7 linked regions of the Oryctolagus cuniculus genome follow. The protein of the gene in region 6 interacts with the protein of the main gene of each other region in a pairwise test. Links are inferred from orthologs where the notes say so. Each region holds a gene or a part of one and is shown on either strand. Other genes may lie near its edges.

Region 1 (3,286 bases), on a different chromosome or scaffold from region 6:
GACCTGGGAGAAATCCCACAGGGCCTTAGCTTCCTGGTCTGTAACGGGCAGAGGCTCAGCTCAGTTTCCAGCTGCAGAGTAGCAGGGCTCACTTGTCTACAAAATCATCTGCCTGTGACTTTGGGCCCTCATGGGCCTTGATCTCTGCCAGATGCTCAAGTCACCCTAACATCCTTTGCTTAGAGTAGGGACCCGGGGTGAGGCATTCCCAGCTCACCAGGGCCTGGGGGGAAGCTCCCGTCACAGGTTTCCAACTGCCACCCGTGTGGCTTTGCTCTTGTGCAGTGAGTCTGACAGTGACCTTGAGCCTGCAGGGGCAGGAATTCAGCTCCTTCAGAAGTTGTCCCAGAAGCTGGATAAAGCCATAGTGGCTGAAGACAGGTGAGTGGGCAGCCCCTGAGCCACTCCGTCTTTGCAGGCTGGCATCTGGCTGTGGCTCGGACCTGCTGGGTGGCTCTGGCCAGCCCCTGCCCCTCCTGACCGCAGCCGTGAGAAGGGACAGAGCCTTGGGAGGGGAGGTGTGGCGGTGGGGGAGGGTTCCCTGGGCCTTGGCAGCCCACGCTTCAATCAGCCGGGCCTCACGTGCGGCCAGGAACTGGGTTCCTGGAAGACCTGCTCCTCCACCAGTGCTCTCTGGGGCTCTACGCCCTGCCTGTCTGCGGTGCTGGGCAGAGGGCCATGGCTGCCTGCGGCTTCCCGGGCTGTGCATTCAGGACCAACTTGGGGCCATTTCCCCATTGGAATGATGGCCCAGAGTGGCCGTGGAACCCCCACGTTTCCAGGCTGGCGGGGCCCTCAAACCTGCAGCCCCCAGCAGCGTCAATCCCTCCCCTTCCCATCCCCAGTGGCGACATGACCGTCTCTCTCCTCCGCAACTAAGGACGGTGCCCTGCAGGTAAGGCCCTCTGCCCACACATCTTTCTAGCATCTTTCTCCCCCACCTCCACGCGTGAGCATGCATGCATACTTGAAGAAACGAGTCTTTTTTGGAAAACCTCAGAGTGGATGGGCACAGGAGAGCAGGGACTGTACCAGTCCCCCTGGCTGCTCGGGGCCAGAACTGCTAACCCAGCATACAGGGGCCCCCACACCGGGGGACAGCCATCGTGTGCCCCACTTGCCCTGCCCTGAACACAGCAAGGGCACCAAGGGAGCTCTGTCTTGCAGGGAACAAGCCCCGTGTGGCACCACACCCAGGACGTCTGGGCCACCCCGTGAGGCCCTGGAGGAAGCCCCCAGGAGGCCCCAACCCTCCAGCCTGCTGCTAACGAGCACCTGACGAACAGAGGGCCCCGGAGCTCCCCTGCACTGGCCACCTCTAGGCCTGTTGCCTGCCACAGCCAGCGGCGACTTGGGGCCTTGCAGACATGGAAGAAATTGTTTCTTCTGCTCTGCTCCCCCAGGGGACTCTCGGGCTTAGAAATTCATCCCCTCCTCGAGCCCTGGGGCTGCTTCCTCCAGTGTGACGCGCAGGCACTGGGGGTGCGGCAGGGCCTGGGCCCTGCACCCAGAAGCAGGGTCCCTGGGGGGTTGTCCCAGCTTCCATTCCTGCTCCCCGCACCAGGGCCCTGGAGGAAGGGACAGGAGATGTCTCCGGGCGCTAGGACCCTGGGCTCCCGGCCACCTACTGATACGTTCAGCATAGGGCACTGTGGGTGTGCAGGGAGGGTGGCCCTCTGTAAGTTATTTAAGAAATCTGCTTTGTCATTTTATTAGAAAGGAATCCGTGTACGACTTTCCCAGACGACAGCGCCTGCTCCTAATAAAGACTCATTGTGCATCAGACTCCGTGCCCGTGACCCCCACCGCTTGGTGCCTCCCAGCCCTCCCCCTCCAAGCTGGCCTGCCCCGCCCCCAGCTAAGGGACACACAAGTACAGGGCCTGGCGCCTCAACTGAGCTCAGAGCAGAGTACGTTTTAAAGGCAAATAAGGTTTTTATTTAATCGACAACGTTTGAGATTTGTTAAAAACCAGCTCACATCAAAATCGAGACCCGTTGTAAAAATCTTTTAACTCCATAATGCTGTTTTTTGTCATGTTAGAAATCTGGTGTTTTACATTTTCTGTTCTAACGGATTGTGTACAGGCAGCCGCAAGGAATCTAACAAACCTTTTCTCACCACGGAACCGTCCGGCACAGAGAGTACTGAACGTCACACACTTGGGAACGGTCAGGCCACGGACAAGGTCGGACTGGCTGCCACCACAGAGTAAACAATTAGGACAGCGGGGTCGAGGGTGGGGGTCCCCGCGCGCGAGCAGCCCTCCTCCCGTCTCTCCCTCCGCAGTGCGTCCTGGAGGGCCTGGCCGACTTCCCTCGCCCCCTCCCCGCTGTCTCAGCAAGGACAGCAGAGCCCACCAGGCCTCTCTGCTTGGACTTGATCCTAGCTGGGATGTGTAAGAAAGTCCCCTCCCCCCACCAAGCCCAGAAAGGAAGGGGAGGGGAGGAGGTTTGTTTTTGGCTGAGCCAAAGATTCTAGGTTTCCAGGGCACTTGGCCCCCCACCCCCCTGGGATTCGGTGAGAAATTGGTTGTTTAAGGCCAGGTGGACTGTGATGCTCCTTCATCGGCAGGGAGCCCCTCCTGGGCGGGGCTGCACCTGCGCTGGGCGAGATGGTAGGGATGCAAAACCCGAACCAGCTCTGGCCCCGGGTCCACCTGCCTTGGCGGGGTGCCGCTGCTGCGGGAAGACTGGTGCCGTGTTTTGTCTGTAGGACACTGGCACAGGCTCCAGAGTGGTAAAAATGCAGTTAAAAAAAAAAAAAAAAAAAAACAGCACATGAGATCTGGTCCTCCCCTCATTTCTAAGAGCCCCCATGCCCCCTGTCTTCCCCTTCTCCACTAGAAATCTCTGGGCTTCGAATGCCCTCACTGTAGCCAGGCACCAAGACAGAGGGCTGTCGACCCAAATGCAGGAAAGGAATCTACCTTTTTCTTTTTTTTAATATTTTGCGGAGCCTAACAGAGGAGTCGCGATCTTTAGGGGAAAAAAATCCATGATGCTGGAAGAGCAGGCCCTGGCCAGGAATGCACCCTGAACCCCAACAGGACAATGACAGAAGAAGGTGGCAGGGGCGTCCTTGGCCAGGACAGCCCCAGCGTGGGGAAGAACAAACATGCCACGTGAAAAACGAGGAGCTTTGGTCAGGCAGGAAGAGCTGTCCCCCAGCTGCTGTGAGCAGGTGCGCCAGGGGCTGGAAGGGTTCTCTAGGAAACAGCCGGTCTGCTCTGGCCACAGAGCTACGCGTGGGGAGGCCATTCCCGAGAGCCGCAAGTGCAGTTCTG
Region 2 (3,529 bases), on a different chromosome or scaffold from region 6:
GTCCCTAGCAGAGAGCTGGATCGGAAGAGGAGCAACCGGGACTCAAACCGGTGCCCAAATGAGATGCTGACACTGCCAGGTGGTGGCTTTACCTGCTACGCCACAGCATTGACTCCTTGCTTCCTATTTCTTTTTAAAAAAGGATTTACTTAGTTATTCAAAAGATAGAAATATAGAGGAGAGGGGCCAGTACTGTGGCACAGTAGGTTAATCCTCTGCCTGTGGATCCGGCATCCCATATGGGTGCTGGTTCTAGTCCCGGCTGCTCCTTTTCCCATCCAGCTCTCTGCTATGGCCTGGGAAAACAGTAGAAGATGGCACAAGTCCTTGGGCCACTGCACCCAAGTGGGAGACCTGGAAGAAGCTCCTGGCTCCTGGCTTTGGATCGGCGCAGCTCTGGCTGTTGCGGCCATTTGGGGAGTGAACCAACGGAAGGAAGACCTTTCTTTTTGTCTTTCCCTCTCATTGTCTGTAACTCTACCTCTCAAATAAATAAATAAAAATCTTTAAAAAAAAAAGAAATATAGAATAGAAAGAGGTCGTCTATCCACTGGTTTGCTCCCCAAATGGCCACAGTGATCAGGGCTGAACCAGGTAGAAGCCAGGAGCCAGAAGCTTCATCTAGGTCTCCCATGTGGGTGCTGGGGCCTGAGGACTTGGACCATCCTCTGTTGCTTTCCCAGGCACATCATCAGGGAGCTGGATAGGAAGTGGAGCAGCTGGGACTTGAACAGGTGCCCATATGGGATGCCAGCACTGCAGGTAGAGGCTTAACCTATGCCTCAGCGCCAGCCCTACCTCCTTATTTTTTATAAATTTGAAAAAAAGAAGTGTATTCCATCTTCTCATCTACTCCCAAAATGCCTGGAACATCTGGGGTTGGGCCAGACCAAAACTAGCAGCCTAGAATTCAGTCTCCCATGTGGGTGGCTGGGACCCAAGTACTTGAGCCATCACCCACTGTCTTCTAAGGTGTGCCCTGGCAGGAAGCTGGTTTGGAAGTAGAGGCAAGACTTGAACCCATGCACTCCAGTATTGGATGTGAGCATCTTAAGTGGTGGGCCAAATGCCTGCCTCAGGGTAAAGTTTCTCAGATGTGTTTTTCCCCTTGACATATATTAATAGATGATGACCATTTACATAACACCCTCCTGCAAATGTATGCAAGTTCTTAAAGTTGTTCTGTTGTAAAAAGAAGTTACAGCACCACTCACTGTCTTTCCCTTTGAGAGGGTGGCATGTATTTTAACTGTGGAGAATTACTGCTTTCGACTGATGGTCACTGACTTTTATTCAGGCTTAGAAAATTCAGTTAATTTTTCTTGTCACTTACAAGTTATTTTAACTTTACTTTTTAAAACCTAGGTTCCTTTGGTGGCATCCGATTATACCTGCAGGAGTTGATTACCATTACCCAGAAGGCTTTACAGTCTCAGTCCTGGAAAATGAAAGCCCAGGGTGCAATTGCCATGGCATCAATTGCAAAACAAACCAGCTCCCTAGTGCCTCCCTACCTAGGAATGGTCCTGAGTGCACTGCTGCAAGGCCTGGCTGGGAGAACGTGGGCCGGGAAGGTAAAGAACCATTCGTGCCCTGTTACATCACAGGGTTCCTGAAACGCTTATGACTCCGTTTTGTTTTCTATAAACGGGTGCACTTCATCTAATTAACTGTGATAGTTCATCTGAAAGTGTAACCCGTGTGTCTGACTAATACAGAGTAATGATGGAGATTGATTTATTTCACATATTCAGCCTCCAAGTTGTTTAAACCAGGTTGTCATTATTTTGTGTTTGTTGGCATTATGATCAGGTCCAGGCTGGGCATAAATGATTAGCAAGACAAGCTTGTTTCACACGTAGGGCCTGTAAGTTAGTAGCAGTCATTCTTCCACAAGGGCTGTAGTAAGATACATGCAGTGGACAGTCTGCAGGGCACATGAGCTTGTGGTAGCATCTGAATATAATGAAGAATCGCATGTAGAAGTCAGTGGTGGCCAATGATGCGGAGTTGTCTGATTCCTTTATCCAGTATCTTCTTCACATGTGTCTTACTCTGTGGTACTTGTGCCCGTGTGACCTGGGTCACATCTGTTCACTTGGCCTTGAGGGGGATGTCAGCAACTCATGGGGAAGTGGAATCAAAAGATAATGTGCATTTCCAAGAACTTTCTGAAGACCCTTCCTAGGAAATGGAGAGCATCCGTGGTTGGGAGTCAGAGTCAGTGGGTGTGCCTGTGACAGTGAAGTGCGTTAAGGATAAGATGACTCTTGTGAATTTCTGTTATCACAGTTACTAACTATTCCAAGTTGAGTGAACATGGAGAAAGTGTAAATGACATGTTTGAGTTAATGCTATTTTGTCTTCTACCAACTCCTTAGGAAGAGCTACTGAAAGCCATTGCCTGTGTGGTGACAGCTTGCAGGTAACTGTTCTATCCCTCAAGATAGCATTGCTTAAACGGAGCCTGAACGCTTCAGCCTTTATTAATGGTTTTCTTATTTTTTGTGGATCGTACAGTGCAGAGCTAGAGAAGTCCGTGCCCAATCAACCCAGCACGAATGAAATTCTTCAGGCTGTTCTGAAGGAGTGTTGCAAAGAGAATCTCAAGTACAAGATTGTAGCAATCAGCTGTGCAGCTGATGTCTTGAAGGCCACCAAAGAAGACAGATTCCAGGAGTTTTCTGACATTGTCATACCTCTCATAAAGAAGGTAATAATCACTTATATTCTCTCTCGTCTGGTTTATACTTAAAAAAAATTTTCCTGTGTCGTGAGTGCTTGTTTTATTAGTATTAGTTTAGCTGCAAATAGCAGAAAAATCTCAAAATATCATGGGCAGTTTGTCTCTTACTAGTAGTTGGGGGCCTCACAAAGTCTTCTGGGATTCTGGCTCCTTGCAGCTCCCAACTCCGCCATCCCTGGGGAATGGCATTGTCCTGTCTTTGTTCTCAGCAGGTGCTGGCAGAGGAGACAAAGCAGTCACAGTGGATGTGTCAGTTCTTTCTTAAGGAGAGTTCTGGAAGCTGCCTTCTGGTACTTGGTCATATCACATTGGCCAGTGCTTGGCCATGTGGCCACCCTTGGTGGCAATTGAAGCTAGGGAAAGGGGCAAGTGGATTTGTAGTATCGTAATGACCTTTGCCTTGGTGTGTCTGCAGAATCCACCCCAGTTACCTTAGAGAGTGAAGACAGGAAGCCAGTGTGTCATGGCGATTGCCTCTGCTGTGCACTGAGGGATTTTGGTTAAAACAAAACAAAACTGGTGTCATTTGGAAAATGAATACTCATGTTTAAAGGTTGGACATTGAGAGGAAGAAGAATGTAGTTTACCTATTTGTGAAGCATTAACTATTTGAAATTGCATTTGTAACATTTTTGTTGCAAATTTGCAGTTGTTTCCTTTCAGTAATTAGGCTGCTTAGATAATTTGTTACATGCATAATGACAGTGGATGGATTTGGGAGACTGGTGTCTTAGTAGGTTCTGTCACCAGTTGTCTGGATGAGTTGCTTCTGGCCTCTGTTTC
Region 3 (4,196 bases), on a different chromosome or scaffold from region 6:
TCCGGGCCCGCCCTTGGGCAGCCAAGGCAGCGGCGGCCCTGAGTCAGCGGCCGGCTGGGCCGTGAGACCCCCGGGGCGGCGGTGCGCAGGCCCGCAGCGCCCACGCCCTCCCCCGGCCTGGGCCCGCGCCGCTCGGGCTCGGCCTTCCCGCGGGGGGACGCTGGGCGGAGGCCCGGGGTGCCGGCTGCGGGCTGCGGTGGGGAGGCCCGCAGAGCCCCGGCCGCCGCCCGCAGTGTGGCCGGAGGCGGGCGAGGTGGTGCCCGCGCCGAGCCCGGATCGCCGCTCACCTTGAAGTCGTTGCCGCTGAGGTCCACGCCGCGCACGAACGGCAGCACCCCGGTGGCCTCCATGGCGGCGCCGCTCTCGCTGCCGGGCCGGCCGGGCGCTGGGGGCGGCTCGGGAGCCGCGGGCTGGGCCAGCGCCGACTCCGCCCCGTTAACCCGCCCGCGCCCGCCGCCGCCGGCACCTCGGGCCTCGCCGGGGCCCGGGGCCTTGCGCTCTGGGGACCTCGCCGGGGCCCTGGGCCTTGCGCTCTGGGGACCTCGCCGGGGCCCGGGGCCTTGCGCTCTGGGGACCTCGCCGGGGCCCTGGGCCTTGCGCTCTGGGGACCTCGCCGGGGCCCGGGGCCTTGCGCTCTGGGGACCTCGCCGGGGCCCTGGGCCTTGCGCTCTGGGGACCTCGCCGGGGCCCGGGGGCCTTGCGCTCTGGGGGCCTCGCACTCTGCGTCCGCGCACAAGGGGTCCCCGGCGGTCTCCGTGCGGAGCCGGGGCGGCCCCACCTTCCTCACCCTACCAAGGTGGTGGCCGGCAGCGAGTGACCACGCGCGCACGTGCGGCTCGAAGCACGCAGCAGGTGCTTGGTGCGTGGCAGGTGGTTCTCATTAAGGCCCGCATGCAAACCACCCTTCCCAGGGGCGCTGCCTACGTCCCCATTGTACGGCACGGGAAACTGAGGCCCAGGCGGACAGAGGGCAGGCCCAGGGACGCACGGGGCCGGCGGCACACCCCCTACCCCGCGCGCAGACAGGTGCTAAGGCGCTCCCGCAAAGGTGACTTAGGGGTCGGCGTGCAGGCCTTTGGACCAGGTGCTACCACCCGTCTGCCCGGCCAGAGGAAGGAAACTGGGGCCCAGCCAGCTTCCTCCACGCGGGAGGCTCACATCACACACGCACACGCGCACGCATCCCCCGCGCCTCTGTGGGCTCCAAGCAGGCACCACGCAAACGTTGCGGGCCCAATAATGCAGCCCTGCGCCTTTAAATCCGGAGTGCCCCCGGAAAGCCCCGCCTCCGAGGGAGCGCGCAGGGCGGAGAAGGGGCGTGGCAGGCCCCTCATTGGCCGAACCTCGCAGTGTTTTGGAACGCCCCTGAAGAAGCCGAGCGCTCCGATTGGAGCTAGGGCCTGCTCGTCTGCCTACGCCAGCGCCTCGGCCTTCGGGGCCCGGGTCCTTCACGTTCCATCCGCAGGCGGGTTCCGGCGCCGGGTCCCGGCGGGCCCGCTGCGTGGTCCGGTCGGTGTGTGGACGCCGCGACGCAGGTACGGCTGGGAGCCCGGCGGGGCCTCCCCGACAACCCGCATCCCGGGTCCCCCAGCCCTAGGTGTGGCGCACGTCCGGGGGCGGGGCCCGGGAGGATTCCTGTGAGCCCCGAGTTCGAGTCCCGGCCCTGCCGTTCCCGGCTCGGGTGCTTGACTGGGTTTCCCAAGGCCTCCGTTGTCCTCGCCTGTGAACCGGCCCACCGAGGGACTGCCGCGCCGGCCTGGTAAGCCCGGGCCCAGCGCCGGCGGCTTGCGGGTTATTTTTAACTGCTCGGTTCCTGCGCGCCCCCCACCCCTTAGGTGGCACGGAGCCCTCGCTGGGGCAGGTGCGCGTGCGCTGGAGGGGTGGGCATTTCAAGTGCTTTACGCACTTGGCAGCGTGGAGGCCTGGGGGCCGATGGCAGCGCTGGTCCGTGGCCGGGGCCGCGGGGGTCAGCCGGCTGGCCCGTGACCTCCCCCAGGACGCCGGAGCCCCGTCTTATTTTTAGTCTGGCGCTAAGAGGCAGGTGTCCCGGGCTGAGTCACACAGAGCTTCGGGCTCCAGCTGCCCCGGGCAGTGGGGGGGCAGGGCACCCAGGGCGCAGCAGGAGGGCGGGCCGTGACCTCGCCGTCCAACGCTGAGGCTCCCGGGTGCCCTTGGCCACCCGTCCCCTGCACCCTCAGGGCCCGAGGTCAGGGTGGGCGTGGGCCTTCTCTGCCTCCACTCGGGCACTGCTCACCTCCTACCAGCTGGGCTGTGGCTCCAGGCCTGCATCTGGCTTAGCATCCTGCAGCCAACCCCCACCCCCCGACCCCGCCCCGACCTCTTGAGGAGCCGGCCACAGCCAGGAGGCCCTGCCCCCCCATCCCCTACCCTGACCTTGTGCTGAGCCGGCCACAGCCAGGGGGCCCTCTCTTTGGGGTCTTCATCTTTGGAGTTCCCTGCTCAATGCCCTTCTACATGATGGCTCCTGGCAGCCCGGACCCTCTGCCAGGGGCCTCCGTGTGAGCCCCCTTTGCCAGGGGCTGGGTTATTGGCCGGTTTGGGGAGGGGTCGTGGCTGCTCCCCCGGCTCCGTGCAGGAAGCCCTGCTAGCAGCCCCTGACTCACGAGGAATCTTCCAGAAGCTCCTCCTTGTGGACCCCAGAGCCCCTGTGCCTGCCCAGCCAGGTGCCCTCCCCGCCCCACCCCCACCCCGCAGCTACCCCGCGCCCCCGGCTCCCCTGCAGGTGGACCATGGCGGAGTTCTCCCAGAAGCGGGGGAAGCGGCGTGGCGGCGAGGGCCTGGGCGGCGCCGTGGACTTCCTCCTGGCCAACGCCCGCCTGGTGCTGGGTGTGGGCGGCGCGGCTGTGCTGGGCATTGCCACACTGGCCGTGAAGCGGGTAAGGCCGGGCTGGCGGGGGCTGGGGCTTGGTCATGGCTGCCGGCCGCCAGGTGCCCTGCTCAGCGCCGCTCTGCCCGCAGCTCATCGACAGGGCCACCGGCCCCCGGGACGAGGATGACGCCAAGGGGGACGGCTGGACGGAGCTGAGCCTGCTCAAGGCCACGCCGCACCAGCAGCCCCGGCCCCCACCTGCCGCCCTCAGCCTGCCCGAGCCACGCCGGCCCCCTGCCCCCTCCACGCCAGGTGAGCCGGAGCCTGCGCCCGGGTCCCTGCTCAGGCTGTTGGAGCTGTGTGGCCAGGGTGCTGGGATGCGGTCGGGTTCCCGCAGTGCATTGTGGGCTGCTCTGACGTGTCCCCCTTGCCTCTGCAGAGGGGCCCGCGGACGCCGGTCCCCAGCCGCCGCCTCTGCTCAGCCCCCCGGCCCCGCTGTGCCTGACCTTCCAGGAGAAGCTGCTGGCATTCGAGCAGGCCCACGTGGCCATCCCCGAGGCCCAGGTGGCCTTGGCCAAGCAGCTGGCCGGCGACATCGCCCTGGAGCTGCAGGCCTACCTGCGGAACAAGTTTCCCGAGCTGCCCTTTGGGGCCCTCGTGCCCGGCGGGCCGCTCTACGACGGGCTGCAGGCCGGGGCCGCCGACCAGGACCACGTGCGCCTCTCGGTGCCGCTGGCGCTGGAGCCGGGCCTCTGGAGCCTGGTGCCCGGCGTGGACACCGTGGCCAGGGACCCTCGCTGCTGGGCCGTGCGCAGGACTCAGCTGGAGTTCCGCCCCCGCGGCAGCAGCCCCTGGGACCGCTTCCTGGTGGGCGGCTACCTGTCCTCCCGCCTCCTGCTGGGTCTGCTGCGCAAGGCGCTCACCGCCTCCGTCAACTGGCCGGCCATCAGCGGGCTGCTCGGGTGCCTGATCCGGCCCAGCGTGGCCTCGGAGGAGCTGCTGCTGGAGGTGCGGCACGAACGCCTGGAGCTCACCGTGGCTGTGCTCCTGGCCGTCGCCGGGGCCGGCACGGGCGCCGACTGCCAGCTCCTGGCCTGGCCCCTGGAGGGGCTGGCTGGGAACCTCTGGCTGCACGACCTGTACCCCAAGGAGGCTGCCCGACTGCGGGCCCTGGATGAGCAGGACGCCGGCAGCCGGCGGCGGCTGCTGCTGCTGCTATGTGGCGTCTGCCGTGGCCACCCCGCCCTGGCCCGCCTGGGCCGGGGGCCCCTGACGCAGGTGGTCCTGCGGGCGGGGGAGCAGGACGTGGACTGGACCGAGGCGGCCCTGGGGGAGCGCTTCCTGCAGGCCCTGGAGCTGCTGCTCC
Region 4 (3,529 bases), on a different chromosome or scaffold from region 6:
CTGGGCGAGCAAAGACGGGATCTGCTCAGAACCCAGATGGCAGGGCAGTGTAGATGGCGCTCCAGGTAGGGCACCCGAATGAACCATCACGCAGCCTGTGAAGGGCACAGACGCACTCTGGCTGCCCTTGAGGGGGTAGGAGGGACTCTCGTCCTGCACTCTGTGAGCAGCTGTCAAGGGCTTCGCTGGGCAGGGCAGAGTTGGCTGGGGAAGGACAGGCAGCTGCGACTGCCAGGACTTCAGCCCACTGGGCCCTGCAGGGAACAGTTTTAGGAGAGGGATGGTCCCACCCAGTGTATGGTTTGGTCCAGAGGAAAGAGCACTGGACCAAGAGAAGTCAGAGTGCCCGCCCTGAGGCCTGGGTGTGCTGCGGTCACTCACCTCTCTGCACCTCAGGTTCTCTGTAGGATGTCCTGGGGCCTGGATGTGGGGACATGTGGGAAGTGGCAAGTGTCCTCCAGTCCCCACTCAGCAGTCTGAATCCTGCTGTGGGCCACTGGGAGTCACCCAGGGCCCTTGAGCCTGAGTTCTTTTCTTTTCTCTTAGCCTGGTTCAGAAGGAGAAATCGATGGAAGCAGACAGCTGGAGTTTGACGTGGAACTGGTCAGTATGAGTGTGGAGCCCTTACTGACCCTGTCCCCTCTCTTTCAGCCCTGGAGCATGGCTGCCATGTTGGGAGATGCCATCATGCTGGCCAAAGGCCTCATCAAGCTGACCCGGGTGGCCCTGGAGACCCACCTGCAGCACTTGGGCCTTGGTGGGGAGCTCATCCTGGCAGCCAGGGCCCTACAGTCCACGGCTGTGGAGCAGATTGGCATGGTCTTTGGGACAGAACAGGTAAGAGGGCCTCTCTCAGGAAGTGGAAGGGGCCCTGGCAAGAAGAGGCCTGGAACTTGGGCTTTTGGCGAGACCAAGGGGTGTGAAGCAGGACAAAGACAGCTGGCCTTGCCTGGAGGAGAGAGCCCAGCAGCTGGCGTGTCCCCTCCTTCCAGGGTGGGGCGGGCTCCCTGTGCGAGGCCCTGGCTGCTGTAACAGAATGCTGCAGACGGAAGGGGGCTTAAGCTGCAAACATTTATTTGTCATGCTTCTGGAGGCTGGAGAGAGTTCCAGATTAAGGCACCAGAAGATTGATACCTGGTGAGGACGCGTTTCCTGACATACATACCGTCTTCTCAGTGTCCTGACTCAGCAGAGAGGACAGGGGCGCTTTCTGTTTTTTTTTTTTTTTTTTTTTTTTTTTTTTTTTTTTTTTTTTTTAAGGATTTATTTTATTTTTCTGAAAGGCACAGTTACAGAGAGAAGAGGAGAGACACAAAGCTCTTCCGTCCATTGGTTCACTCCCCAAATGGCTTCGATGGCTGGGGATGCATCATGCCAAAGCCAGGAGCTTTTTCTGGGTCTCTCTCACACGTGTATAGGGGCCCAAGCATTTGGGCTATCTTCTGCTGCTTTCCCAGGTGTGTTAGCAGGGAGCTGGGTCAGAAGTGGAGCAGCCGGGACTTGAACTGGCAGGCACATGGGATGCTAGCCTTGAAGGCGGCAGCTTTGTTTGCTATGCCACAGTGCCAGTCCTTGCCTCTTGTCAGAGGGCCTGAGTCCTGTGTGTGTGAGTTCCACCCTCACAACTTAATTGCCTCCCACCTAATGTCATATGGGGGTTAGGTTCCAAAACTTGAATTAGGGGGCACATGTGTGCAGCCTATAAAGGGGCTCCTGTGTCGATCAGCCTGGCTCAGTCTTCGGAGCCTCTTCCCATGGGCCTGCTGAGCCCCAGCCAAGGCCTGGCCCTGGGTTCCTCTTTGCTTTTGCCAGGTGTCTCTGGATGCCTGACTTGGGCGCCCTGCTCCTTTCCAGGCTGATGGCTATTACGGCCCTGCTGAAGGCAGCCAATCCTCCAGCCTCTTGCACTGCCTAGGGGAGGGGATTCCCTTTTGTGCGAAGGTCCAGGAGCGTTGACTCTTATGTGCTAGGCACGGTGTTAAGTGAACACAAGTGCTGCAGGGGTGACGCTGAGCCCAGCTGGCCGCAGCAGAGCACTGTGCATGGGTTGCCACCCTGCGTCCCTGGCCTGAGGGCATGGGTGCAGGTGCATGGGCCCATGCAGCCTAGCAGTTACATGGCAGGGGCTGCCCTGTCTCCTCCCTCCTTCTGTTTTGTGGTTGGCTGGCCTCCTGGACAAAGGACATGTTGCTGTCCCTGCCCTGTCTCATTGTTGCCTCTAGGCACTGGCAGCTTTGGAATGCTCAGCCACTCCCCTCCTGTTGTCCCGGGCATCAGTGTTTTCTTGACCACACATGGGTTTCTTTACTCTTTAGAGAACTTCACACTGGTGTCTCACTGCTGACCTAGGCCCGGGACAGCCCAGATCCCAGATGCTCACTCCTATTTCTCACATGAAGCTGACACCAACAGGTTTGCTATGAGACCTGTGACTATTAAGAGACAAGACCAGAATCCTTGTCATTGTCCCTGCCCTGGCCATCACTGCTGAGGCTGGGCTGTGACCCAGCCACTGTATTTGGTGCTGTTTGTGGTGAGCAGCAGTTGCCTTCCTGTTGGGAGTTTTGCCTAGAAAGTGAGGTTGCCCCATTTACCGTGGCTGGTCCAGAAGTGAGGCTGCATGCCAGGACTGGGCAGCCTTGGCCATGAGGATGAGGGCCTCCTGCTGACCTCTGCTCCCTCAGGCCTAGCGTGCCCTGGAGGCAGGATGGTGATCATCCACTATCACAGAGGAGGTGCCTGGGTGAAGAGACTGTTTCGACTGTTTTTCTGCCTTCGGTGCCCTAAACACTGAGGTAGTTGGAGGCTCCCTCCTCCCCATGGGTTCCACCACTGTGGGGACCTGTCTGCCTCTAGCTCCTGGGCTGTGTGCACGTAGACTCAGTGTGTCGGGTCCCGCTGGGCGACCCCGACTGCCCATGTGCCCCCCCACCACAGTGCTGGTGATTTAGTGTCGGGCAGCCGCCGTGGCAGTTACAGGGCAGGAGGAGGGGCCTGTGCTGCGGCGCCCAGGGCCCTGTCCCATGCTCCTCACTGGCTGCTGGGAGGTGCCCAGTGGGCTCAAACGCGACCCGTTGCTACTGCAGCAAATCTGCTGTTAGTTGGCCCCAGGGGTGGCCAGAGGACAAGCCTCAGCTTTGAAGCCCTGCCCTGCCGTTGGCTGACTCGTGGCCTTACCAGTCATGGCAACTCCCAGCCTCAGTCTCCATTGGTGAAATGATGGTGACAGCCAGGCTCTGTCCTCCCACAGGAGAGTGCGTCTGATCTCTTCAGGGCCTCCGATATCTTGGAAAGCTGAGACCGAGAGGACTTTGGATCTCTGGCTGTTTGTGCATGACCTGCAGGTGGCCCTTTGGGGTTATTCCATTTCAGTTAAATGGGGGATCCAGGCCACTGGCTTCCCTCCAGGAGTCGGTCAGTCCTAATAATAGCCTCCTCAGGCAGTGTCCCTGACCCTGGCCCCGCATAACTCTAGGACTTGGGGGAGACCTAGTCCTATTTTCAGATGAACCAGTAGCTCAAGGTCACT
Region 5 (4,263 bases), on a different chromosome or scaffold from region 6:
GCATGAAGGCCCTGTAAGTGGGATCCCTGTCCCACGCACACACACTCATCTCCAGGAACCCTGAGACCCCCTCCCCACTCTCCCTGCTGTGTAACGGGTCCCCATTCGCCAGGCCCCCAGTGGTATGGCTTTGATTCTTGCAACCGAAGGAGCCAATTAAGATACCTAAGCCGGTTAAAGGGAGCGCCGGGACGAGCCTCCAGCTTCGGCCACGTGCTATCAACTGGCCACTTCCACCCTGGCCACCTTCCTACACCTGGGCCCTTCAGAAAGCTCACGGGAAAACAGAAATAAAAGGAAGACAACTTATCCGGAGGCAGTCACTTGAAAACCAAGCCGTGACTTTTTTTTTTTTCCAGGGTGTGCATTTTGAAGAGCCCCGCGCCCGCAGCGCACTGGTCCTGTCTTCACCACCGGCAGCGCGCGCGTTCAGCACCCACACCTGGCCCTGACCTTGCGCCCAAGACCCGAGCCAGCTGCGGCTCTCGCCGGGGCGCCAGGGCGCCGCACTCGGGCAGGGCGTCACGCTCTCCCCGGCGGCTCCCCGCCCGCCAAGGGCTCTGGGTCGGGGGGACACCCGCGCCTGCAGCCCTCCCCGGCCCCCGCCGCCCGCCGGGTCACCTGTAGTTGTAGGCGCTGAAATGCTTGCTCTCTCTCAGCATCGCCCGGTACAGATCTAACACTTGTGCGCGGCTGGAGGCTGCCATTTTGGATTAAAAAAAAAAAAAATACGAATACACGGGTCCTCCTAGCGGAGGTCCCGAGTGGAACCCGAGCCACCAAGCTGCAGCGTGCGCAAGAGCCACGGAGCAAACGCAAGGCGGCGGGCCGGTCCTGCTAGCGGGCCGGGCCTCGACCTGGGCGTGCACCGCCGGGGAGGCGGGCGCAGGCAGGGCTTCGGGCACCTAAGGGGGCGGCGCCCGCGCCTCGTCCCGGACGCTCCGGGGCTCGGCGGCGGGCGGGAGAGGGACGGGAAGGCGGCCGCCTGCGGGGCAACACTAGGCCTTGGGAGCGGAGAGCTGGGGCCGCCTTGGCGCCGAGCCCCGCTCCTCGGAGGCGGAAGTCGGAGGCTCGAGTCCTGAGGGCGCGCAGCCCGAGCCCGGGGCGCCTTCGCGAACCGGCCGGGTGCGTGGCGGCGACATTGGCGTCCCGGGGCGCAGGGCCCGGTCACAGCGGCGGGCGCGCTGAGGGCCGCGTTGCCCGGGTAACCGAGCGCTCGCCGCGCCGCCGCCCCACCCCCGCCGCCGGAGGCTGTCCTCCGCGCTGCCTGACACGCGGTGCTGATTTCGCGGGGAAATTTGACTTGGGCCGACCCCGGTCGGCGAGCCTGGTTTTCAAGGCGTTCATTGCGTGGGGAGAGTGCGGCGGGATGGGCGTGGAGGTGGCAGGCTGGGTGATGGCGACTCCCTTGGCGATCCGGCTCCGCTCGGGGCAGCCTCCCTCGGGGCCTCTAGACAAGGCCCCTTCTCCGTCAAAATGGCGGCGCCCAGCACGCACGGGCGCCCCTGCGTTTGGGCATCCGCCGGTTACCACTGAGAGTGGGCGATCTGCCGCGCTTCTGATTTGAACTCTCACGGCTCTGGGTTTCCCAGTGGAGCTGTGGGTGAGTGCCCCTCTCGCTGCCGCGTCGGGGTGTGACATGGGCCGCAGGTGTAGCAACGACTTGACTTTTGGACGTATCGTTTCACATTTCCGGGATGTTGCTGGGGGCTGGTGATTTTTTTTTTTTAAACTTTGATGTGTAGAGTCCTCGGAAATTTGTAATTTAATAAATGTATTAGGAAGGCGAGGCAGCTGGACTGTAGACGCTGGTGCTTAATTGGGACGAGGGGGCTGCGGGCACTCATTTGACGTCCCAGGGGAGAAGCTAAGCAGGTATTCTCCCGTGGGTTTATCTCAGAAGACTTAACTTTGCTGAGCCGCCTCGTGACGTGGTGGACAAAGTCGCACCTTCTGGTCCTTGTGCTCGAGGCTGGACGAAGGGAGTCCTGAGCCAGGTGTCGTGGTTGCAAAGCGCTTTCCTTTTCCGGAATCTTTATATAACCATCGTTAGGAAGAGCCGCGGCTTTCTGCGCGCGAAAGACCGCAAGCAGTGTCTTCGAACGTGAAAGCCAAGTTTGCACGGGCATCCGTCTGCGCCGTCACAGAGCCTCGGTTGTCTGCGTCTGTCGTATTTCTGGGCTTTAAGCGACACTTGCTCTGTGCAGCAGCAACTTGTATTTGCAGAAAACACCTGTTTGACTTTTCCGCACTCTGGCGTATTTGCAGCCCTGGGTCCTTGCCCCAAGTCCTGGTGCAATGGCATTGTTTCAGAGAGCGGATAGAATATACTCTCATTAAGAACCTTTTAAGCCTCTTGTCTGATTTCTGTAAGTTTTCAGACATCTAGGCGTCTCACAGCAGGTTTCTGTTTCTGATTTTAAAACATGCTAGCAAAACTGTCAGGCCACTGCCTCAGGTAAGAGGCAAGAGCTTTTAATAGTTGTTTTCCTTTAGGCGTTTCTCAGAGGATCCAGGACCAAGTAGATAGAATAAGGCCCAGACCTCTTTCCTCTTAGGATACGCTGTTGTGTGCTGATGCTGTAAAATAAGTGACAACTGGGAAAAACTACGCCAGTAATGTAAGTTACGGGTCAAGCTAACCATCACACTGAGAAGGAAAAACAGAATAATTTTGGTTTCCTTAAAAGTGCTGGAGATTACATTGTTGTCTTTTGCTTTCATCTGAAAGTAAGATTGGCGTAAATTCTTCATGCAGTTGCTTTATTTATGCATAATCATCAGTGAATTCAGTGATTGATACGTGTAGTGTACTAAATGGCCTTTGTGGTGATGAGCGTTGTCTAAAGAAATACGTAATGTTTACATTATTTGGGGAGCCTGGGTCACCTGTGAGGACAGAGAGGTTGAGGTTAGCAAAGTGACAGCTTTCCAGTGCTGAGTTTGTGGGACACCGTGGATTTGGACCAGGTTGCTGCACTGGGCCCACAGACCAAACCAATAGAAACTTAATCACAGTAAATGACTGTGGGTTGGTTGTAGAGGCCCGTGTAGCCAATTACTACTTAGGCTGAAGCCAGTTGAGTGTGTGTTGATTGAGTAAGCTGCAGCCAGGTGGATCCTGTTCTCTGCTCCTCTTCGTTTTCTGTAAACGTTGTCCCATCAGATGGGTGGTGGAGTTCTCAGAGGTTGCTTTGGTTCTGGGAGCTACCCAACTTGAGAATCGTTTCGTCCTGTTATTTTTTGGTCGTCTTAACCTCATTCTACTGAATTTAATTAGCCTAAAAAATTTCCCCTTTAAAACCAGTTGATACTATGCTTTACAGAAGTGTTTAACTTGAAACGATTTACTGGTGTATTGGCTGTCATTGTCTTGAAAGAATAAAAAATGCATTCTGAAGCGAAATCTGTATTTTTGTGTATCTTCATTGCAGAGGCAACTATCTTTATTATATTTCAAGCAAAAAGTCTATTTGAGATAGAGTTGGACCAGCAGCTGAGGCTGGACCTTACTCACATGTCCTTCAATGTACCTTTTACTCTGAGCTGGGGTTTTTCTTGGGTAATAACCATAAACTAAGGGGTAACCACCCACTATGACCCAGGCCTGAAAATGTGAAAATTTTCGTAATTCTCAGTTGTCCGTGGTTCTCAGCCGCCTGTTCTTCACTACGTAGGTCCATGTGTCACCTGACGTAAAAGACAGCCTTGTCAGTAAACCCTTACACTTTGTGAATAGGAATCTCTCTAACCATAATAAGCAGCGGTTTAACATTCAGCTTAATGACCAAAATGACGTGTAAAGGAAATGTTGTCTGGAAGAAGTAACTCGTGTACTACATGGAAGTTATCCTGCCCCTGCGTGGACCTGGATCTTCACTGCAAACTCGTTTTTGCTGATCTCCCATGTTGACAGGCTGTGGAGCTGGAAGACACATCACAGAGAGGCTCACTGGCTCGCACAGCTGAGCAAGCTGAAGCCCTGCCCTCCTCCGGCAGCACTCACTGCTCATTTTGAAGTGCCAGCCTTTACGTCAGAAGATGTAGTTACATTGATGAGCATATGGGGAACTAGGTGAACGGTAATTTATTGTTGACAGGTGCTTTGATCATGGTGATATTTCCAGATATTAAGGGAGTACAAAAAAGACATTCAACCAGGACTTTGCCCGAAACCAAAGCTTTCCTCTTAGGAAACAGATAGGGGAAGCCAGATGAACGATGTGTAAGTTAGAGATTGCTGTGTATTAAGCAGCGCATGGG
Region 6 (3,529 bases):
CGCTGACCTCCTCTCTGGTGCCAGTTCGAGTCCTGGCTGCTCCACTTCTCTTCCAGCTCCTTGCTAATGGCCTGGGAAGGCAGTAGAAGATGGCCCAAGTCCTTGGGCCTCTGCACCCATGTGGGAGACCCAGAAGAAGCTCCTGGCTTCAGATCGGCCTGGCTGCAGCAGTTGTGGCCATTTGAGGAGTGAACTAGTGGATGGAAGACCTCTCTCTCTCTCTCTCTCTCTCTGCCTCTCTCTCTCTCTAATTCTTCATTTCAAATAAATTTAAAAATCTTAAAAAAAAAAAAGAGGCACCCTGCCGCACATGAGGCCGCGTCGTGGGCACGGTGAGAGGGCAGGCCAGCCCGGACCGCGCTGCCTGGGTCTTGCATGCAGCCGAGCAGAGGGGCAGGAACACGGCTGTAAGCCGACTCTTCAAGCCCAGCCCTGCCGCTCGGCAGCTGTGCGAGCCCTGGCGAGTTGCTCAGCTTCCCTGTGCCTCCGTTCCCTCATCCCCAAGACGAGGGTAAGAAGAGTGCCCGCCTCCCAGAGCTGTCACTGACGCAGAGCACGGAGGCGGGTGACGCTGACGCACTCGGGACTGTTGCAGACAGCAGCCGGTGCCCTGTGAGCTGGCCGGCTCTCACTGAGTTGACAGCAGTGTGGTGGAGCCACGCCCTGAAAACTGAACCGGGCAGGCACGTGCTGAGAGGCAGCGAGGAGGGTGGGGAGGGGAGGGGTCTCGGAGTTAGCATCTGAGCTGAGACTGACAGGACCAGAGGGGCGCGTGCTCAGAGGCCGAGCTGTTTTATTCCCGACAGAAAACCAGTGGAGAATTTTTAGCAGGGCACTGACCTGTCTCATTGCCGATACTGTTGCTATTTCGAGAACAGACTGCAGGGGGCAGGAGTGGGAGCAGGGAGACTAGTGTGGGGTGGCCTTGGCCTTGGCCGTGGCCACTGGTGCTCGGGCGAGGATGGGACCATGTGACCGGATTCAGGATCTAGGGGGCAGGTAGAGACGGTGCCAGCGGCCTCGCAGACTGCACGGCTTCTCAGGAGGCCTGGGACCCTGTGCAGGAGGGAGGGGCTGCAGGAGGGGCGGGCGCCTGCCGGGTGGGGGCCCCCTGACCTGACCAAGGTGCCTCTTCCTGCAGGGGCTGCATCGTGTTCTCAGGATCCTACGCCTGGGCCAACTTCACCGTCCTGGCCTTGGGCGTGTGGGCCGTGGCCCAGCGGGACTCCATTGACGCCATAAGCATGGTGAGCCTGGGCCGAGCCGGGGCCCTGCCGTGTTTCCCTCGCCCAGCCAGTCTGCTCCCTCCGCCTCGGGCCCCATTGTGCACGGGTGCAGCCTCGGAACTGAGCCTCCTGGGCTACCAGCCCGCCTGGCCTTCACTGGCCTGGCCCGCTCTGAGAACGCAGGTCTGCTCTTGCGGGCCCCAGGGAGGACGCGGGCTCCACGTGGCACCCCAGAGTGCCTGCTGTCCCCAGCAGTCGCTCATGACCCTGGGACCTGCCTCTGGGGCTCTCAGGAGGGATGTGGCCACAAGGGAAGCCCACTGCTTCGTGACATCGGCGACACAGCTCTGCTGATGGTGTGGGGCTCCCAGCACGTGCTGTGCCGGGAGGTGGTGAGCGCCCAGCAGGAGACTCTTCAGGCTGAGGCCGTGGCCTCTCAGGGTGATCAGGAAGGGAGTTTCTTTGTGGTGGAGACAGATGGGTTGGATTGCAGGGGGCCTCCGATTTGGAGGCTCTGGAACCAAGCCTGGTCCCCATCACGGCGCCAGGGGTGACGGGGAGGTGGGCAGGGCTGGGGCTGTGATGGTGCCAGCAGCCTGGGTCCAGCCCTGGGCCCTGGCATCCCCACTGGAGCCCCTCCGCAGGGGTCTGCCAGCAGGTCCTCAGCACCCGGCCAGGCGCGCGCTGCCGCAGTGGGGTGGCAGCAGGGGTACCGGGGGCGGGGCGGGCTGTCACAGGATGGCGTGTCTTGCAGTTTCTGGGTGGCTTGCTGGCCACCGTCGTCCTGGACATAATCCACCTCGGCGTCTTCTACCCGCGGTCCGGCCTCTCGGACACCAGCCGCTTCGGGGCTGGCATGGCCATCCTCAGCCTGCTCCTCAAGCCCGTCTCCTGCTACCTCGTCTACCACATGTACCAGGAGCGCGGCGGGGAGCACCTCTTCCACTCAGGTGAGGACGCCGCCCCGGCCGCTCGGTCTCCCCATCCCGGGAAGGGCAGGCACGCGACCCTTGCCAGCTGTCAGCCTGAGGCCGAGCTGGGGTGTGGCTCACTTCCCGGGGGCAGCTCTGGGCAGTCTGCGGCCTGAGGCCCGCCCTCGGTGCCCACCTGCTCCTGGCCCTGGCCCCCCTCTCCGGCACATGGGGACTCCCCGGTCCTGTGCAGAGCCCATGCTGGGTGGGCTGGGAGCGTCAGCAAAGACACCACGGCCCCGCCCAGCCCCACGCTTGCCCACGCCTGCGCTCTCAGAACCGGTCTCCCTTCTCATGGTGCTGAGCCAGTGTTCCTGCCCTCTTGATACATGACCTCACTTCCTCCCCCTCCCCTGAGAAGTGGGGAGTGGTGGGGTGTAGGCGTCTACTTTCTACTCCTGGGAACAGAGGCCTGAGTTTCCCATGATTGACCTGGGAGAGCAGCTGGGGCCCCTACCCTGGCAACCTCAGCAGTGCCTGCACCTGCCCCAGGGTGGAATGCCCGCCCATTGCACAGATGAATAAACTGAGGCCCACAGACTGGGACTTGTTCAGGATCCCAGGACAAATGTGCAGGGTGCTTGGAGGCCCACCACCCTGCCAGGGACCTGGCTCACGTCCTCTGGGCATGGCCACTGTGCAAGAATCCAGATATGGATATCTCTCCTGGATATGGTATTGCGATGTCCTGTGGCTGGCATCCGTGGGCCGGGGTCCTGAGCGCTGCTGGGAAGCATGTTCCCCGGGCCCTGCTGCCACGCTTTGAGCCAGGCTGTGTGACCTCGGCAGGGCTCTGACCCCTTGAGCCTCGGTGTCCTCACCTGCAAAGGGAGGGCGATGAAAGTACCTGCCCCGTGGGCTCATGGGGGGATTGAACAGTGCACCGTGGAGACACGGGGGGATTGAACAGTGCCCCGTGGACTCATGGGGGGATTGAACAGTGCCCCGTGGGCTCATGGGGGGGTTGAACAGTGCCCCGTGGGCTCATGGGGGGGTTGAACAGTGCCCCGTGGGCTCATGGGGGGGTTGAACAGTGCCCCGTGGACTCATGGGAGGATTGAACAGTGCCCCGTGGGCTCATGGAGGGGTTGAACAGTGCCCCGTGGACTCATGGGGGGATTGAACAGTGCCCCATGGGCTCATGGGAGGATTGAACAGTGCCCTGTGGACTCATGGGAGGATTGAACAGTGCCCCGTGTAGACACGGGGGGATTGAACAGTGCCCCGTGGGCTCATGGGGAGATTGAACAGTGCCCCGTGGAGACACGGGGGGATTGAACAGTGCCCCGTGGGCTCATGGGGGGATTGAACAGTGCCTTGTGGGCTCATGGG
Region 7 (4,279 bases), on a different chromosome or scaffold from region 6:
CTATGAGCAAATCAAGGTGGGGCCCTGCTCGGTCCCTAAGTGAAGGCAGAGGGAATCCTCCTAGCCAGCTTGTCACCCTTCCCTGAGGGCCGGAGCGGGAGCGAGTGTCGGGAGGAACCCTGGTGGTGGAGGGGAACGGGGCGGGGGTGGTGGGGTGGGGTCCACTCTGTCCTTGTCTCAACCCCCCTCCCCCCCCCCCCCCCGGTGCTCTCAGTGTCTCAAAGCCGAGGATGTGGCCGAGGCTGTCATCTACGTCCTCAGCACCCCTCCGCATGTCCAGGTGAGTGTCTTCGGGTGTCCGCACCTTGGAGGAGCCCAGGCGTCCCCGGAGGAGGGGAGCCGGGAGGTCGGACGGGCGCGGGGAGAGTGTCTGGGCTGCCCCCCGCCTGTGCCTTCCACAGATCGGAGACATCCAGATGAGACCCACGGAGCAGATGTCCTAGAGCCCGCAGGGAGCTCCTCCCTCCCCACCCCGCGAGGCTTGGCTCCTGCCTCTGGATTTCAGATTCTGATTGCTGCACCCTGGGTCCCGTTCCTGCCCCCACTCCCCCAAGGGCTAGAACATTTGTTGGAGGTTTTTGTATCACTTTGTCAAATTGTTTCCATAGCAAAGGTGATGGGCTGGGGCGGGGAGGTGGTGCCCAGGTCATTTCTCTGTCGGGCTTGTCGGGCTTGTTGGGCTTGTTCTCGCCCCTCGCCCCTCACCTTGGCTCCTTCGCCTTTGCTGTCCTCAGTCTCTTCCCTTTGATCTGGGAACGGGGCTGTGGCCCAAAGCGGGACTGCTCCTGTCTTCTTGTCCGCCAGCCCCTGGCCCTCAGGGTGCTGGTGGTGGAGGGAGGCCCTCACTTTCTATCTGAGTGGTTATCCTGGGCCCCAGGCTTCCTCCTCTCCCTGCCCCCGCTCTCCCTCCAGTGTTGGCATCTGGGCTGCTGCTGGGGTCATCACCACCTCTGCCTGTGGCAGCAGTGTCAGGCCCAGCTCCCAGAGGATCTCACTGTGATCATTAAAGAAAAATCACACCAACCAGCCTCGGCTTCAGAAGTGTGTCTCCGTTCTGCGGCTCTGTGGTTAAGGAAGGTCCTGCCTTCCCCCTGAGTGTGGATGGTCTCAGGTGGGCTCAAGATTGGGGGGGAGGGTGTTCCTGCTGCATCTTCACAATGGGCAGGAATTTGCCAAAGACACAGAGAAGGCAGCCGGGTGTGCAAGGCTGGAGGCAGAAGAGCACCAGCACTGTGCAGACACAGGAGTAGGTGCAGTACGGGGCGGGCTGGAAAGGGTGGCTCCTGTCTGGATCCCTGGGGGTAGGCCAAGGGCACCAGCTAGCTTGTCAGCAGGCAGTCACAGGCCCAGAGCTGCCACGCTGGAAGACAATCAGTGGCCAAGGAACAGGAGGTGTGACAAAAAGCCTGGGGGAAGCCACCAGCCCCTGAAGCGGGGAGGGAGGCGCCGAGACTGGCTCCGTCGAACGGGACGATCATCTCATCCTCTTGAGGTGTCTCTTGCTGGTGTGTGGTAAATGCAGCCCCCGGCCCCCTCGCCCCAAACCTCCTGGGACCTCGAAGGTCACAGCAGAGTGAGCCACACCTTGGAGCGCCGCTCAGCCAGCCCCGCAGAGGGCGCTGTGGGGACGCCCTGGGGGCCGGGCATGCGCGAGACGCCGCCAGGCCGGGGGCGGGGCCGCCCGAACGCGGAAGCTCGGGAGGCATGGAGCCGGGCTTGTGGCTCTGCGGAGCGGCTCTGGGTAGTCTCGGAGCTGGGTTCCGGCTGGGGCAGCCGTCGCCTCCCCTGCTTCCCAGTGCCCAAGAGTGAGCCCCAGGGAGCGGGTAACCGCAGCGGGGCCATGGGATTGCTCCCGGCCGTCCGGGGCGCGACCCGGGGCTGCTCTGGTCGCCTCGTGACCCGCGCTGTCTCCCAGGAGGCGCGGCGTGGGGTGCGGCCGGGTGGGGAGGAGCTCGGCCGCCTGCGGCTGGATGACCTGGCGCCGGCTCCGCGGCTAGAGCTGCTGTTTGGCCTGTCCCCGTGTCTCCTGGCCCTGCGGGCCGCCCGCCGCCGCGTGGCGCGGCTTCTGCTCCAGGCCGGGAGGGCCGGGCTGCAGGGGGAGCGCGCGGAGCTGCTCCGGGCAGCCGAGGCGCGGGGCATCCCGGTTCTGCGGCCCAGACGGCAAAAGCTGGACGCCCTGTGCCGCCAGCAGGTCCACCAGGGCGTCTGCATGGAGGTGAGCCCTCTGCAGCCCCAGCCCTGGACTGAGACCATGGGGGCGGGCCCAGGTGCCGACCCCCAGCAGCTGTGGCTCGTTCTCGACGGGCTCCAGGATCCCCGGAATCTTGGGGCCGTGCTGCGCTCCGCTCACTTCCTTGGAGTGGATAAGGTCATCACCAGCCGGAGAAGCAGGCACGATGTCCCTTACTCCCCGTGTGCAGTGGGAAGCGCCCGGGACGGGAAGGGCGCCGGCCCGAGACTGCCCAGCCTAATGCGGGGATTGGGGCACCTTGCAGCTGCCCGCTCACCCCGGTAGTCAGCAAGGCCAGCGCAGGGGCAATGGAGGTGATGGACGTGTTCTCTACGGATGACCTGGCCGGTTTTCTACAGGTAATGGCGAGAGGGGAAGGTGTGGAAGTGAGGCCAGCCGAGCCTCTTCCAGGGCGTTCTGCCAGCAGATAACGGGGGAAGGGACAGAGCAGGGGACCTGTTGGCTTTGCTTGCTAAGGCCTCGTAGTCCCCTTTCGGAAGGGAAGCGTCCCGGAGTATTTCAGGCACAGAGCGAGCCCTGTCTGAAGGTGGGGGCTTGGCGCGTTATTGCCTCCTGCACTGCTTCCCTAGGCTTACAGCTCTGCCTCCTCTGTAAGCCTACTGCGGCGTCTCATCCCCTACCTAGCAGATCTTAGCAAGTGCTTGTTATTCAGCCGTGGGCAGCAAGTGGACAGGAAGGCTGGGCCCCTGGAGTAGGGGCACTACCCGAAAGGATCTGTGAACAAAGGGAGCTTTAGCCTTTGATACCCAGGAAGGGACCACATCTAAAGAAACTCTTGGCCGTGGTGTGTGTGTGTGGAGGGGGGGTGTCCGTGCACCTGTCTTTAGCTGTACTTCTCTGGCTGGGCACCAGGGGGCAGTATTGCTCCACACTTGGCAGCCCCTCTGGCGAGCTTGGCGTGTGTGTGTGTGTGTGTGTGTGTGTGTGTGTGTGGCACAAGGGTGTTCAATAACTAACCGCATACGTAATTTAAGATTTTCTGGTAACTATGTTGAAAAATAAAAAAAGGTGAAAATAATCTTATAATGTGTTTCTTCCAGAATTATCCAGCATTAAAATTAATATCCATCCAGTATTAGATTATAATTTTAACGTATAATCATTGTAAATATTATTAGAGTACTTTGTAGTTATATGTATCAAATTCAACATGCAGCACATGTCAGTTTGGACTAGCCACGTTGCAGGTGCCTCATCACCACGTGTAGCTCGAGGCTGCTTAATGCAGAACCGCGAGTGTGTCTGGAGGCGTCTCCTGGCTTTACCTTCTTATAGGAGCCTCCTTTGGAGGAGCTCTGGCCAAGCCTGGTCGGAAGCGGTGTTCGCTGGCCTCACTTCCAGCCCCTGAACAAGTAGCCCCTGAAAAGACGGGAGACACTTGGCAGAGCCCTCCTGTGAGCCCCAGACGGCACCCCGACCTCTTCCTGCCAGCATCCGGGCCAGGACTCGGTCCGCCCTCCCGCTGCTGGGGAAGACCTGCTCGGAGGGGCCGGAGGGGCCGGTGCTGGCCCCGCTGCTGTCAGGGTCCGCCCCTGTCGCAGCCGCCCTCTCTCTCAGTGGCCGGCAGGCATACGTGCCCCCCCATCACATACTGAGCCCAAGCCTTGTCCAGGTCCCCAGTGCCCCCCTTGTTGCTACAGCCAAGTGTGCCTTCTCGGTCCTCTCTGACTCGCGCTGTCCACAGTGTCTGCACAGATGACCGTGCCTCCCTCCTTGAAACGCTGGTCACCTGGGCTTCCGCCTGCCTTGCTCTGCACTCCCTTGGAGTTGCCTTCGGTGGTTCCTCCTGAACCCCTTGACCGCCAAACATCAGCGGGCCCCAGGTCTCAGCCCTTCGACGTCTGGACAGACTCATTTCTGGGAGTGTCCACTCGTCTGAAGACACGAAACGTCGCCTGTCTTCCGCTACCGCCCACGTGCACCTCCCAGCCTGGGTCGCTCATCCAGTGGCCTGCCCCACCCCCCAGCTCGCCCTTTGCCGTCTCATGGGCGTTTCAGACTTGACGTTTCCTGAGCACTGGTTCTTCC

What was found.
Region 1: the proteins of AGTRAP (region 6) and PIMREG interact in binary tests that used the Homo sapiens proteins (3 or more experiments, as listed by UniProt). The two-hybrid records come from large-scale screens. The link is inferred for Oryctolagus cuniculus from reciprocal best matches to the Homo sapiens genes AGTRAP and PIMREG.
Region 2: the proteins of AGTRAP (region 6) and ECPAS interact in binary tests that used the Homo sapiens proteins (3 or more experiments, as listed by UniProt). The two-hybrid records come from large-scale screens. The link is inferred for Oryctolagus cuniculus from reciprocal best matches to the Homo sapiens genes AGTRAP and ECPAS.
Region 3: the proteins of AGTRAP (region 6) and MIEF2 interact in binary tests that used the Homo sapiens proteins (3 or more experiments, as listed by UniProt). The two-hybrid records come from large-scale screens. The link is inferred for Oryctolagus cuniculus from reciprocal best matches to the Homo sapiens genes AGTRAP and MIEF2.
Region 4: the proteins of AGTRAP (region 6) and COQ8A interact in binary tests that used the Homo sapiens proteins (3 or more experiments, as listed by UniProt). The two-hybrid records come from large-scale screens. The link is inferred for Oryctolagus cuniculus from reciprocal best matches to the Homo sapiens genes AGTRAP and COQ8A.
Region 5: the proteins of AGTRAP (region 6) and FARS2 interact in binary tests that used the Homo sapiens proteins (3 or more experiments, as listed by UniProt). The two-hybrid records come from large-scale screens. The link is inferred for Oryctolagus cuniculus from reciprocal best matches to the Homo sapiens genes AGTRAP and FARS2.
Region 7: the proteins of AGTRAP (region 6) and MRM1 interact in binary tests that used the Homo sapiens proteins (3 or more experiments, as listed by UniProt). The two-hybrid records come from large-scale screens. The link is inferred for Oryctolagus cuniculus from reciprocal best matches to the Homo sapiens genes AGTRAP and MRM1.

Annotation. Positions count from the first base shown.
Region 1 is NC_091448.1:50,099,737-50,103,022, reverse strand, and holds the end of PIMREG (protein PIMREG), read left to right. Parts: intron 1-285; coding exon 286-381; intron 382-845; coding exon 846-879; 3' UTR 880-895; intron 896-1,167; 3' UTR 1,168-2,779; downstream 2,780-3,286. UniProt on the Homo sapiens protein: During mitosis, may play a role in the control of metaphase-to-anaphase transition.
Region 2 is NC_091432.1:214,968,995-214,972,523, reverse strand, and holds part of ECPAS (proteasome adapter and scaffold protein ECM29), read left to right. Parts: intron 1-1,365; coding exon 1,366-1,574; intron 1,575-2,381; coding exon 2,382-2,425; intron 2,426-2,520; coding exon 2,521-2,713; intron 2,714-3,529. UniProt on the Homo sapiens protein: Adapter/scaffolding protein that binds to the 26S proteasome, motor proteins and other compartment specific proteins. May couple the proteasome to different compartments including endosome, endoplasmic reticulum and centrosome.
Region 3 is NC_091448.1:62,264,228-62,268,423, reverse strand, and holds the start of MIEF2 (mitochondrial dynamics protein MID49), read left to right. Parts: upstream 1-1,379; 5' UTR 1,380-1,535; exon of another isoform or gene 1,536-1,759; intron 1,760-2,743; 5' UTR 2,744-2,750; coding exon 2,751-2,897; intron 2,898-2,979; coding exon 2,980-3,142; intron 3,143-3,269; coding exon 3,270-4,196. Other genes in the region: FLII (protein flightless-1 homolog), read right to left, coding at 288-350. UniProt on the Homo sapiens protein: Mitochondrial outer membrane protein involved in the regulation of mitochondrial organization.
Region 4 is NC_091444.1:67,507,688-67,511,216, reverse strand, and holds part of COQ8A (atypical kinase COQ8A, mitochondrial), read left to right. Parts: intron 1-651; 5' UTR 652-660; coding exon 661-837; intron 838-3,529. UniProt on the Homo sapiens protein: Atypical kinase involved in the biosynthesis of coenzyme Q, also named ubiquinone, an essential lipid-soluble electron transporter for aerobic cellular respiration.
Region 5 is NC_091436.1:165,173,117-165,177,379, reverse strand, and holds the start of FARS2 (phenylalanine--tRNA ligase, mitochondrial), read left to right. Parts: upstream 1-1,450; 5' UTR 1,451-1,603; intron 1,604-4,263. Other genes in the region: LYRM4 (LYR motif-containing protein 4), read right to left, coding at 622-707. UniProt on the Homo sapiens protein: Is responsible for the charging of tRNA(Phe) with phenylalanine in mitochondrial translation.
Region 6 is NC_091438.1:156,693,219-156,696,747, reverse strand, and holds part of AGTRAP (type-1 angiotensin II receptor-associated protein), read left to right. Parts: intron 1-1,141; coding exon 1,142-1,247; intron 1,248-1,980; coding exon 1,981-2,176; intron 2,177-3,529. UniProt on the Homo sapiens protein: Appears to be a negative regulator of type-1 angiotensin II receptor-mediated signaling by regulating receptor internalization as well as mechanism of receptor desensitization such as phosphorylation.
Region 7 is NC_091448.1:37,350,436-37,354,714, forward strand, and holds the start of MRM1 (rRNA methyltransferase 1, mitochondrial), read left to right. Parts: upstream 1-1,470; 5' UTR 1,471-1,516; coding exon 1,517-2,391; intron 2,392-2,495; coding exon 2,496-2,589; intron 2,590-4,279. Other genes in the region: DHRS11 (dehydrogenase/reductase SDR family member 11), read left to right, coding at 1-16, 215-280, 402-443. UniProt on the Homo sapiens protein: S-adenosyl-L-methionine-dependent 2'-O-ribose methyltransferase that catalyzes the formation of 2'-O-methylguanosine at position 1145 (Gm1145) in the 16S mitochondrial large subunit ribosomal RNA (mtLSU rRNA), a universally conserved modification in the peptidyl transferase domain of the mtLSU rRNA.